3 linked regions of the Arabidopsis thaliana genome follow. The protein of the gene in region 1 purifies or fractionates together with the protein of each later gene. This does not show direct contact. Each region holds a gene or a part of one and is shown in the gene's direction. Other genes may lie near its edges.

Region 1 (3,753 bases):
TAACGCCGTGCAGGTTCAAAATGTTATCCCTTTGTTACTTCATCATCTTGTTATCCAGCTTTTCCAAGATTGGAAACCTTTTCCCTAACCCAGTTTTTGCTTTTTCCTGATGCAGTTTCTGTTGGTTAATCTAATTATCGACATCTTAGGAGCATTAGCTTTGGCATACAGACCAAGATCTGATCACCACCTAATGGGAAAGCCACCGGTTGGTATAAGGTACAAATTCTGAATAGGATCAAGGATAAGATTTGATTATTAAGTCAATATAGAGTTGGCTTAGAAAGAGACATTAATGTATTGATGCTGAAGGTTTTGAAGAAACTGTTGGTTTTGCAATTCTTGTTAAAACACACTATCTGTTCTAGGTGAATATACACAAACTGATAGTACATATGCATGTGTACATTTTTTGTTTTTCAGAGATCCTCTTATAACCAAGACGATGTGGTCCAAGATGATAATTCAGGTATGTAGGGTAAAATCCTCGATTGATCATGTGTGGACGTTAATGTCAGATTAAGTATTTCACACCTTCATAGTTTCCAAGGAGCAAATACAATTCCTTGGTGATATTAAACTAATTAATTATTTAGATTAGAGACAAACACACTGGTTTGGAGACCTCTAATAATGCTTGTGTCATGAAATACCTTCCTCCAGGTATTTTACCTAGTGCTCTCGCTGGTACTCATAAATTCTGAGAAGCTACTGAAGCTGAAGCATGGTCAGACGGGCAATGCCGAAAAAATGATGAACACATTGATATTCAATTCCTTTGTCTTCTACCTGGTAATATCTGATTTTTTCCCACTCTTCTAATTAGAGTTCATATGTTGATCATCTCTCTATCTTTCTAAAATAACGCAGGTTTTTAATGAGTTTGAAATCCAAAGTGTAGACCAAACCTTCAAAGAAGTCCTTAGAGAGAATATGTTTCTCGTTACAATAACCTCAACTATCATATCTCAGGTAAGTCCTCTTTACAAGTGAACACAACATTTGTCTTTTCTTATATATCCCTAAACCATATATACTCTCTTTCTGTTCTTTCATATCAGATAATCGTGATCAAGTTCGCAGGCATTTTCATTGACTTGAAAAAATGGGTGACGACAAGTCTTTTGGGGTTACTCAGGTTCTGCTCATAAACATCCTCAACTACTTTCTTTAATTTTTTACTCTTCACATTTTTTCTCAATACGTAAATTTAACCTTTTTTCAGCCAAGTCGCCACTCGCTACCCTTACCCAGCCATCCAATATCATCGTAACTGAGATTTCTCTTGCCGTATGGCTCAATTCTCGTAAGAAGTAAGAACCATTCACTCCCAAAGTCTCCTAATGAATCGCATATGACTATCTTATTTTAGATCTGGCAAGTAGTTTCTCTCAACTTGCAGTTCTCATCTCAGGTCAACTTTTGAAGCATCCCTCTAGCTTTGGTCGCTTAGGAGGCTGTTGTTCTCTGCGCGGGTGTGCGTGAGAGATTAAATAATGCGGATTATTGTGCTGTGTATATAGCATACTACAGTTTATTCAGTCAATTCATTTTCCTCTTGAAGATATGTCGAGTGAAATGCGTGAAAGTCAAACATTTAAGTTCTGTATCCATTTCCCTTTCAAGCTATGTAGACTGTAATGGGTGACAGTCATATATAGTATATATAGTAAGCTCTGTTCAATCAATGCACCTCTTCGTTTTCGATTCATGAATTGTTTGTTGGATGTTCCTAAATCTTTGGATCCAGCTGATTCACCGCGATTGAGGTGGCTTTAGTTATCGGTATCCACCATTCCTTACTGCTATAGGTCGATCGAATCAATAACACTACGACAATTCGGGCTGCTTAGACAGCGGGTGCGATACTAGTTTATTCATACTCCTACTCGTACAAAAATCAAGAAAATTTCATCTCCATTCAAATTAAGAAAAAAAACAGTAAACATTCATATACCATAGCCACAATCACATTCGTGGCGGTTTTACACTACACCCGCCGCACCTGATCTTTGACTTGATATTTTTATACAACTGAGTCGGTTTTTGACTTTTGAGGTTGTGGACAGATCTAACGGCTAATAGAATTCGAGTTATCTACTTCACCTGACGCGGCAAAATCTCAACCGTCCCTTATAAAGCTCTTCGCGGTTAACATTTTCTCTCCTCTGTCTGTGTGTACTCGTGGTAAATTAGTCAGATTTCGATTTGGAACCCTAAAAAAATTCAAAAGACGATCCTCTTCTCGAAGAAACTCGATTCTTGTGGATTCGATTTCATTAAGGAATTTTGAATTGTTGCCTGTGATGGGTGGTTTGGCTATGGAGGAAATGCCTTTATCGGTGCTATTCGAGCAAGCTAGGAAAATTCATCTTGCTGCTTCAGAGTCTGGTGTTGATCAGGTGGAAGCTTCTACCTCTTTTTTATATACAGATTCGATTAGGGTGTTTATCTGAAATGGGTATTTCGAATCCGAATCGCGAGTTTTTACTGAATTGGACATTTCCGGGGATGCTTAGTTCATTCTTTTCCTTTGGTTTGTTAGGATGTTGTGAAGAAAGGATGTGAGATGTTTCAGAAGTGCGAAGATATGATCGGGAAGCTGGCGCTGTTTTCGTCTAACGAGACTAAAGAAGATATTAGCACCAACAATCTCAAATATCTTTTGGTATGCAATTGAGTCTCTGTTGTTTGGATTTTTGTAATTTGTTTGTATTCTAGTTTTGTTATTAGTTTTGGTGTGGAAAGATCTGAAAGTGAAAAACTTTAGCTTGTCCTGATGCTTCTAGTTTTAGCTACTGACTGAAATTCAAAATGGAGTCTGAGATTTTGGATTGTAACGTTTTCCATTGAACTTACTCTGTGTGGAGACCATAAGATTGTGTTGAGATCATAAGATTGTGTTGCGAGTTGACATTTCTATAAAGTGACGAGGGATTATATTGTCTTGTGATTATAGGTGCCTTATTATCTTGCGGAGTTGACAGAGAAAATCATACAGGAGGACCGGATTCAGATTGTCAAAGCCTCGTATGCTAAGTTGAAGGTTAGTTTTCTGCTGAGTGTTTACATGTTTTTGTATCCCTTTGATGCTATTGCAAGTGGGAATGAGCATTTGGTTGGATTTTTTTTGAGATTGATGTATAGTTTTGTTATTGTGTCTAGGAGTTCTTTTCGTTCTGTGAGGCAATGGAGCTTGTTCCGGATGAGGAGTTGGAGGCTTCTTCACGAGGAGGTTCTGGTGCACCTGCTGATCGAAGGGCTCTCAAGGTAGATTCAGCCCTGTTTCTTTTGTTTATGTTCTGACGAGAATGAAGTTTAAAGTTTTCGGATTTTGAAATGCGTGTTGTGTCTTCATGATTATGGTACTTTGTAGATAGCTCGGTTCAAACGTCAAAAGGCTGCAGAGGCAAAGCTTCTTGAAATTAAAGAGAGGAAGGAGCGACGTGGACGTTCCACTAAAGCATCAGCTTTGTCGACTCCGGTTGAATCTGGAGAAGATGATATTCCAGATGATGACAGCGAAGAAGAGAGAGAGGTTTGTCCCACTTTTTGTTTTGCTGCTTTCTCTAATTCGATTTTTTCTTCTAAGCTTTCTTGTCTTATTGCTTTCCTCTGCAGGCCTGGCTCTCCTCAATTAACTTGGCTATTTGTAAGGTTTGTCTAAAAATCATTTCATTAGAACCCTATGATTTGTCACAAGTTGAGGAGGCATTATCTTATGATTGAACTTCGTTACAGGCTATTGATCTG
Region 2 (3,753 bases), on another chromosome or scaffold:
CGTTATAGTGAAAAAAAAAACACAGATAATATCGTCAAACAAATTCTTAAATACCTCACATAATCCTCTCGCTCTCCCACCTAGCTTGACCTTCATATCTCTACATTAGCCAGTAAACTCTGATTATAGAGTTTCTTGCTGAAGAAGAAAGAAAAGTTTTGTGTAACTTAAGAGTCAAGAGATGACAAAGAAGGATATTCTTTACGATACAGTACTTGCTCGTAGTTTTAGCAAAACTGATCAGAAGAGACTTTGCTGTGGAGCTTTCATTGCCTCTCTTCTCTTGGTCCTCACTCTTTGCACTGTCGTTAAACCTTATCTCAGCCCTTTACCAATCGGTAAGTCTCTTACCACGTTTTGCCGAAAAGCCAGATAACGCAAAAACAATCATTTTAACGTGTATCTCTTTCTTTCTTTCTTCAGTGGAGTTACAGTTATCAGTTGGCACTGGTCTAAGGATGCTGAGTATAACAGAATTAACTACCAACACTACAATCTCCAAAGAAGAAGTTATTTCAGGTCAATATACTTCAGAATTTTCTCTACAATTGTCTTGTTATGGTTTTTAGTCATTTTCTGTATAGTATGATACAGTTTGTTCTTTTGATTTTGTCCTGACTGAATCTTCAGAGTGCAATAAAATGGAGAAACCTATCTGTCACTGTAACACACTAGGAAGCAAAGAGTTTTGCGATGTAAGCGGCGACGTAAGAATCCATGGTAAATCCGCAACTGTTCTTGCGGCGGTCACGTTTGCGTTTTCCGGGAATTCCACGTGGTATATGAGACCTTATGCGAGAAAAGACCAAGTTCCTGCCATGAAACGCGTGAGAGAATGGACGGTGAAATTAGTACAAAACGCTAGTTTATCACGCTGCGTTAGGAATCACAGCGTTCCGGCGATTCTTTTCTCTCTCGGAGGCTTCTCGTTGAACAATTTCCATGATTTCACGGACATCGTGATTCCTCTGTACACGACGGCGCGTAGATTCAGCGGTGAAGTTCAGTTCCTCGTGACGAACAAGAATCTTTTGTGGATCAACAAATTTAAGGAATTAGTGAGGAAACTCTCTAATTACGAAGTGATTTACATCGACGAAGAAGACGAAACGCATTGTTTCAGCAGCGTCATCGTTGGTCTCAATCGCCACCGTGATTATGACAAAGAGCTAACGACTGATCCTTCGAATTCGGAGTATTCAATGTCCGATTTCCGGAAATTCCTCAGAGACACATACTCATTGAGAAACTCCGCCGTGACTACGAGGCGGAAGCCACGGATTCTGATTTTGTCTAGGAGCAGATCGCGAGCGTTTGTGAACGCGGGTGAAATCGCTAGAGCGGCGAGACAAATCGGATTTAAAGTCGTGGTGGCGGAAGCAAACACGGAAATCGCGAGTTTCGCAATAACTGTGAACTCCTGTGACGTGATGCTCGGCGTTCACGGCGCGGGGATGACGAACATGGTGTTCTTACCTGATAACGCGATCGTGATTCAGATTCTTCCGATCGGTGGATTCGAGTGGCTTGCAAAGATGGATTTCGAGTATCCGTCGAAGGGCATGAATCTGAGGTATTTGGAGTACAAGATCACGGCGGAGGAGAGCACACTGGTGAAGCAGTACGGACGCGATCACGAGTTCGTTAGAGATCCATTGGCCGTTGCAAAACGCGGGTGGGGAACTTTCAAGTCGGTTTATTTGGTACAGCAGAACGTTAGCGTTGATATAAACCGGTTCAAGCTGGTTCTTGTCAAAGCTCTTGAGCTATTGCATAATCAGTCAGTGTAAATAAGTAACTTTCAAGCATTCGTGTACTGTAATCTTGGGAACGAAATAATTACCAGATCATTTGGTCTAGTTTAGATTTTTCTCAAATTTGTTTAACCGTCCCCTTAACAAACACTCAAGTCTGAAGTCTGAACCAATAACTGGGCCTTTTGGGCTAACTCATAAAAACTCAAAACAGGCCCATTTATCAAACAATAGCGTATACCCTAGGGCTTTTTTCAAATTCTCTATTCTCTCTTTCATTTCCAGAACACTCTTGTCACACTTCCATTTAGGGTTTTCTGCAAATTTCTCCGTTCGAGATCAATTCCGTCGAGATCTCAAGCTCTCTCACTCGTAGTAAAAAAATGGCGGCGGTAGCGGCACCAATGGCTTCGAAGCCCCGTGGATCTAAAGCTGAATCGTTCGTAGACAACAAGCGGAGAGAAGATATCCGATTCGCGAACATCAACTCTGCTCGAGCAGTCTCTGACGCCGTCCGTACTAGTTTGGGACCGAAAGGAATGGACAAGATGATTTCCACGGCGAACGGAGAGGTAATCATTACTAACGATGGAGCTACGATCCTTAACAAGATGGAGGTTTTGCAGCCAGCGGCGAAGATGTTAGTCGAGCTTTCCAAATCTCAAGATTCAGCCGCCGGAGATGGTACCACAACTGTCGTAGTAATCGCCGGTGCGCTTCTCAAGGAGTGTCAATCGCTTCTCACAAACGGGATCCACCCTACTGTCATTTCAGATTCGCTTCACAAGGCGTGTGGTAAGGCGATCGATATTTTGACTGCCATGGCTGTTCCAGTGGAGCTCACTGATAGAGATTCACTTGTGAAATCTGCGAGCACATCGCTTAACAGTAAGGTTGTTAGTCAGTACTCTACATTGCTTGCTCCTTTAGCTGTAGATGCGGTTCTCTCTGTTATAGATCCGGAAAAGCCTGAGATTGTGGATTTGCGTGATATTAAGATTGTTAAGAAGCTTGGTGGGACTGTGGATGATACACATACTGTGAAAGGTTTGGTTTTTGATAAGAAGGTTAGCCGTGCTGCTGGTGGACCGACTCGTGTGGAGAATGCTAAGATTGCTGTGATTCAGTTCCAGATCTCACCTCCTAAGACTGATATCGAGCAGAGTATTGTTGTCTCTGATTATACTCAGATGGATAGGATCTTGAAAGAAGAGAGGAATTACATATTGGGGATGATTAAGAAGATCAAAGCAACTGGTTGCAATGTGTTGTTGATTCAGAAGAGTATTTTGAGGGATGCAGTGACTGATCTATCTCTTCACTATTTGGCCAAAGCTAAGATTATGGTTATTAAGGATGTTGAGAGAGATGAGATTGAATTTGTCACCAAGACATTGAACTGCTTGCCTATCGCCAATATTGAGCATTTCAGAGCTGAGAAGCTTGGCCATGCTGATCTTGTTGAGGAGGCCTCCCTTGGAGATGGAAAGATTTTGAAGATCACTGGTATCAAGGACATGGGGAGAACTACATCTGTTCTAGTTCGTGGCTCCAACCAGCTTGTTCTAGATGAAGCTGAAAGGAGTTTACATGATGCCTTGTGTGTGGTTAGGTGTCTAGTGAGCAAAAGGTTTTTGATTGCAGGAGGTGGTGCACCAGAGATTGAGCTCTCAAGGCAGCTCGGTGCTTGGGCTAAGGTGCTACATGGGATGGAAGGTTACTGTGTGAAGTCTTTTGCTGAAGCTCTCGAAGTTATTCCTTACACACTAGCCGAGAATGCAGGGTTAAACCCTATCGCCATTGTGACTGAACTCAGGAACAAGCATGCTCAAGGGGAAATCAACGCAGGGATCAATGTGAGGAAAGGACAGATCACTAACATCTTGGAGGAAAATGTTGTTCAGCCTCTGCTTGTGAGTACCAGTGCGATCACTTTAGCAACTGAATGCGTTAGGATGATTTTGAAGATTGATGACATCGTAACTGTGAGGTAGTGTGG
Region 3 (3,753 bases), on another chromosome or scaffold:
CTCCTTAGTCGAATCCTTAAGGGAAGATACTTCAGATATAGTAGCCCATTAGAGATTACAGTATCCAATCGGCCATCGTATGGCTGGAGGAGTATGCTTGCTGCCAAACATGTTCTCAAGGCCGGGATTCGTAGGACCATTGGGTCGGGTTTTGAGACTTGTATTTGGACTGATCCATGGATCCCAGATATCTCCCCAAGACCACCGAAAGGTCTAGCTACGGATAGAAAACCTCTGATCTATGTAAATACCTTGATTGATTTTGAAACGAAACAGTGGAAAGTAGATCGGTTACGTGAGCTCTTCCCCCCCAAAGATATTACCCTCATTTTAGGGATAAAACCGAGCTTAAATGCCTCGCGAGATGGATATAGTTGGACTATGACCAAATCAGGTAATTATACCGTCAAGACAGGATATGAAGCCGCGAGAGCTATCTCTCGCCCGTCTTGTGACCACCCTTTTCAGGGACCTAGTGTTTCAGCACTAAAGGCGCAAGCGTGGAAGTTAAAAACTACACGAAAGCTTAAGCATTTTGTGTGGCAATGTGTGTCAGGTTGTTTGGCAACATGTCAACGACTACATTTTCGCCATATTGGTAGAGATAAAAAGTGTCCCAGATGTGGGGCTAATGAGGAAACCATCAACCATTTGCTATTTGATTGTCCACCAGCGAGACAAGTCTGGGCTTTGTCCGGTATTCCCTCCTCTCTATCTAGGTTTCCGTCGCCCTCTATATACAATAATCTGGATTATTTGTATTGGAGAGCAAAGGAGATTGGAGCTAGCGAGGAGAGCCTACGGATTTTTCCGTGGATCATGTGGTATATTTGGAAAGCGCGAAATCGAAAGATTTTTGAAAATATTTGCGTCCAACCTCAAGACACTTTAGGATTGGCAATCCAAGAGGAAGAAGTTTGGAGGAGAGCCAACATGAGAGAGGAGCAAGTGGAGGAGACGGTGCCATGTTTGCAAGTCCCAATTTTACCTTTGGACGTTCCAGTGTGCTTTATTGATGGGTCGTGGCATGTATCTGAACCTCGAAGTGGTCATGGGTGGATATTGAACATCGGGGAAAGACTGTTACACTTGGGATTGAAGGGATCACGACGTTGTTTATCACCGCTTCACGCGGAATTAGACACATTAGTTTGGGCCTTGAAGTGCATGGTGGGATTGTCGATATCGAGGGTACAAGTTATGACGGATTGCTCAGATCTTATCACCATGGTTAATACCCCGGAGGAGTGGCCTAATTTTGCATCGGAGCTAGAAGATTTCAAGATTTTTAGAGATAAACTTGTATCTTTAAATATTAACTACGTTCCTCGAACTAGTAATATTCGTGCAGATTACCTTGCAAAATGTGCAAGAGCACACGGATTCTGTTTTTCCCATGTAAGTTCAACGATTCCCGATTGGCTCTCTTTAGAGGAGAGCTTATATCCGTAGAATAATAGATGGAGTTAGATCGAGAAAAAAAAAAAAAAAAATTATGGTACTTATAAAGTTTAAATAACTATAAGCATTAAAGCATATATATTAAGCATCATTTGTTATGGTATTTAATTTTAAAAACTAGTTGACTTTTTAAATTGTCAACTCTCACCACAACTAATGGTCAAGATAATCTAAAACAATGCTAAAAAGGTCATGAACCCTGACCTAATTTTGTGGATCCAGCTAAAGATGTGATTATTTTTTATAAATTAGTCAACTGGAACAAATTTCATATACTGGCACCTAGTCTATGTGCCTTTGGTTATGCACAAATGCAACTCTAAAATCGTAAAAATCGGTGACTTTTTAAAATGAGTTTGGTTAGCGGTTCGATTCGGTTCATCAAAAGGAACAGTCAACCTTGTTTGTTCCAAAAAAAGGCTACGAAGGACCAAAAAAAGAAAAAAAGAAATGGCCTATACAGGGATCGAACCTGTGACCTTCGCGTTATTAGCACGACGCTCTAACCAACTGAGCTAATAGGCCACTTGTTATATTGTTTCCATTGTATGAATATATTCAAAACCTATGAATTTGTCACTATCTCTGCTTCAACTAACACAAACCTTTGTACTCTCCGCTCCTTCACCTGCAAAAACAACATCTCTCACATTCTCTCTAAACTCTCTTCACTGTTACTCGACAATGGCTACTACTTCTAACTCGGTACTTTTCCTAAGTTCTGACTCACTGATTCATCATCATCATCATCAACCTCTCCATCTATCTTCCTCCAGATCTCACTCTGTTTCTCTCCCACCCAACAAGCGATCCAATTCTCTCACGCTTCGTTGTTCAACAAATGGCGATAGCACCTCAACCGAAAAGGAAACACCAATCGAACTCAGTAAGATTTTTCTCTCGATTTCTAATGTTTCCGACATTCGTCATTCTCTTACTCAATCTGTTTCTCTTAATCCCCAGAATTCCCAGCATTTCCAACGGTAATGGACATTAACCAAATCAGAGAGATATTGCCTCACAGGTATAAAATATTCATAAGACTTCAACTTTCGGTGATTTGATGAGTTTTCGTTGAAACCCATGTTTGAAGTTTTGATCTTTCTGGAATTTGACATTATGGTTCTTGGATTTTAGGTTTCCGTTTCTGCTGGTAGATAGAGTGATAGAGTATACGCCTGGTGTTTCAGCTGTAGCTATTAAGAATGTCACCATCAATGACAATTTCTTCCCTGGCCATTTCCCTGAACGACCAATCATGCCTGGTGTTCTCATGATTGAGGTAATAATAATCGTTTAAAGTTGCAAACTTTTGTCCTCAAGAAGATCAAATATTTTGTAATTGATATGTTAGCTGTTGTATTCCTTTCAAAATGCTTTAATGTTCGCTACTGTTTTAATCGAAGATGGATGTTAACTATGATAAGAGGTTAATGATCTGCTAGTTTGGATTCTGAATCCTGATAGATTAGCGCGAGATCTTCACCTGGTTGGTAATTGAATTGTCCTTCTGTGGTCTGATAGAGTGATGAGTATATTATAGTTGAGGGACTTCAACTTCACTTTGCTAAAAACTTGATCCAAAATGTGTGAAGCTATCTGCAGCTTTGATACTGAAAACTCGAGTCTGCGTAGTAGAAATATGCAACTTTAAGCTTGAAAGAGGTTAATGATCTCGCTAATTTGGTAGAGGTTTTGGATTCTGAATCCCGATAGAGGATCACAGATCCTCTATAAAAAAGATAACCGCCATATGGTTGAGTATTAATGTCTTGAAGATCATTTCACTGAAAAGTCAGAGTTTGTGTATTGCAGGCAATGGCGCAAGTCGGAGGTATAGTAATGCTGCAGCCGGAAGTAGGAGGCTCTCAAGATAACTTCTTCTTTGCTGGTATTGATAAAGTGAGATTTCGCAAACCAGTGATTGCAGGAGACACGCTAGTCATGAGGATGACTCTTCTCAAGTTCCAGAAGCGGTTCGGGCTCGCTAAAATGGAAGGTAAAGCTTATGTGGGTGGTGCTCTGGTGTGTGAAGGCGAGTTCATGATGGTTTCTGCTGGTAGTTCTTGATCTCACCCATTAATGGTCTCACTTCCCACATGTGGACTCTTCTTATGCTTCTTCTGTTATTCGAAAATCTAGACAAGACAGCTTTATGTTTTCGACATTTATATGAGCTACTTTTGCCCTTCGTGTCTTTATTGCTGTCTCCAATTTATGAACATTCATAAGATACAAATACAGAGATTTTGATTTTGAAAATCCATATTCATAGATCATAAGTTTGGTTAT

What was found.
Region 2: the proteins of TAP46 (region 1) and AT3G18190 purify together in Arabidopsis thaliana (affinity purification with mass spectrometry, with the first as the bait; one large-scale study listed by BioGRID). This does not show direct contact.
Region 3: the proteins of TAP46 (region 1) and AT2G22230 purify together in Arabidopsis thaliana (affinity purification with mass spectrometry, with the first as the bait; one large-scale study listed by BioGRID). This does not show direct contact.

The regions. Positions count from the first base shown.
Region 1 is NC_003076.8:21,486,423-21,490,175, reverse strand, and holds the start of TAP46 (2A phosphatase associated protein of 46 kD), read left to right. Parts: upstream 1-2,133; 5' UTR 2,134-2,306; coding exon 2,307-2,402; intron 2,403-2,545; coding exon 2,546-2,668; intron 2,669-2,959; coding exon 2,960-3,046; intron 3,047-3,165; coding exon 3,166-3,270; intron 3,271-3,376; coding exon 3,377-3,538; intron 3,539-3,621; coding exon 3,622-3,657; intron 3,658-3,741; coding exon 3,742-3,753. Other genes in the region: AT5G53010 (calcium-transporting ATPase), read left to right, coding at 1-13, 116-219, 424-469, 664-792, 871-972, 1,062-1,138, 1,226-1,277. UniProt on the Arabidopsis thaliana protein: Involved in the positive regulation of the TOR signaling pathway. Acts as a negative regulator of PP2A catalytic activity. Plays a positive role in the ABA-regulated inhibition of germination, probably throught its interaction with ABI5.
Region 2 is NC_003074.8:6,230,089-6,233,841, forward strand, and holds the start of AT3G18190 (TCP-1/cpn60 chaperonin family protein), read left to right. Parts: upstream 1-2,019; 5' UTR 2,020-2,137; coding exon 2,138-3,748; 3' UTR 3,749-3,753. Other genes in the region: AT3G18180 (Glycosyltransferase family 61 protein), read left to right, coding at 182-338, 424-519, 631-1,790. UniProt on the Arabidopsis thaliana protein: Molecular chaperone; assists the folding of proteins upon ATP hydrolysis. Known to play a role, in vitro, in the folding of actin and tubulin.
Region 3 is NC_003071.7:9,447,897-9,451,649, forward strand, and holds AT2G22230 (Thioesterase superfamily protein), read left to right. Parts: upstream 1-2,033; 5' UTR 2,034-2,145; coding exon 2,146-2,347; intron 2,348-2,424; coding exon 2,425-2,485; intron 2,486-2,598; coding exon 2,599-2,743; intron 2,744-3,276; coding exon 3,277-3,531; 3' UTR 3,532-3,727; downstream 3,728-3,753.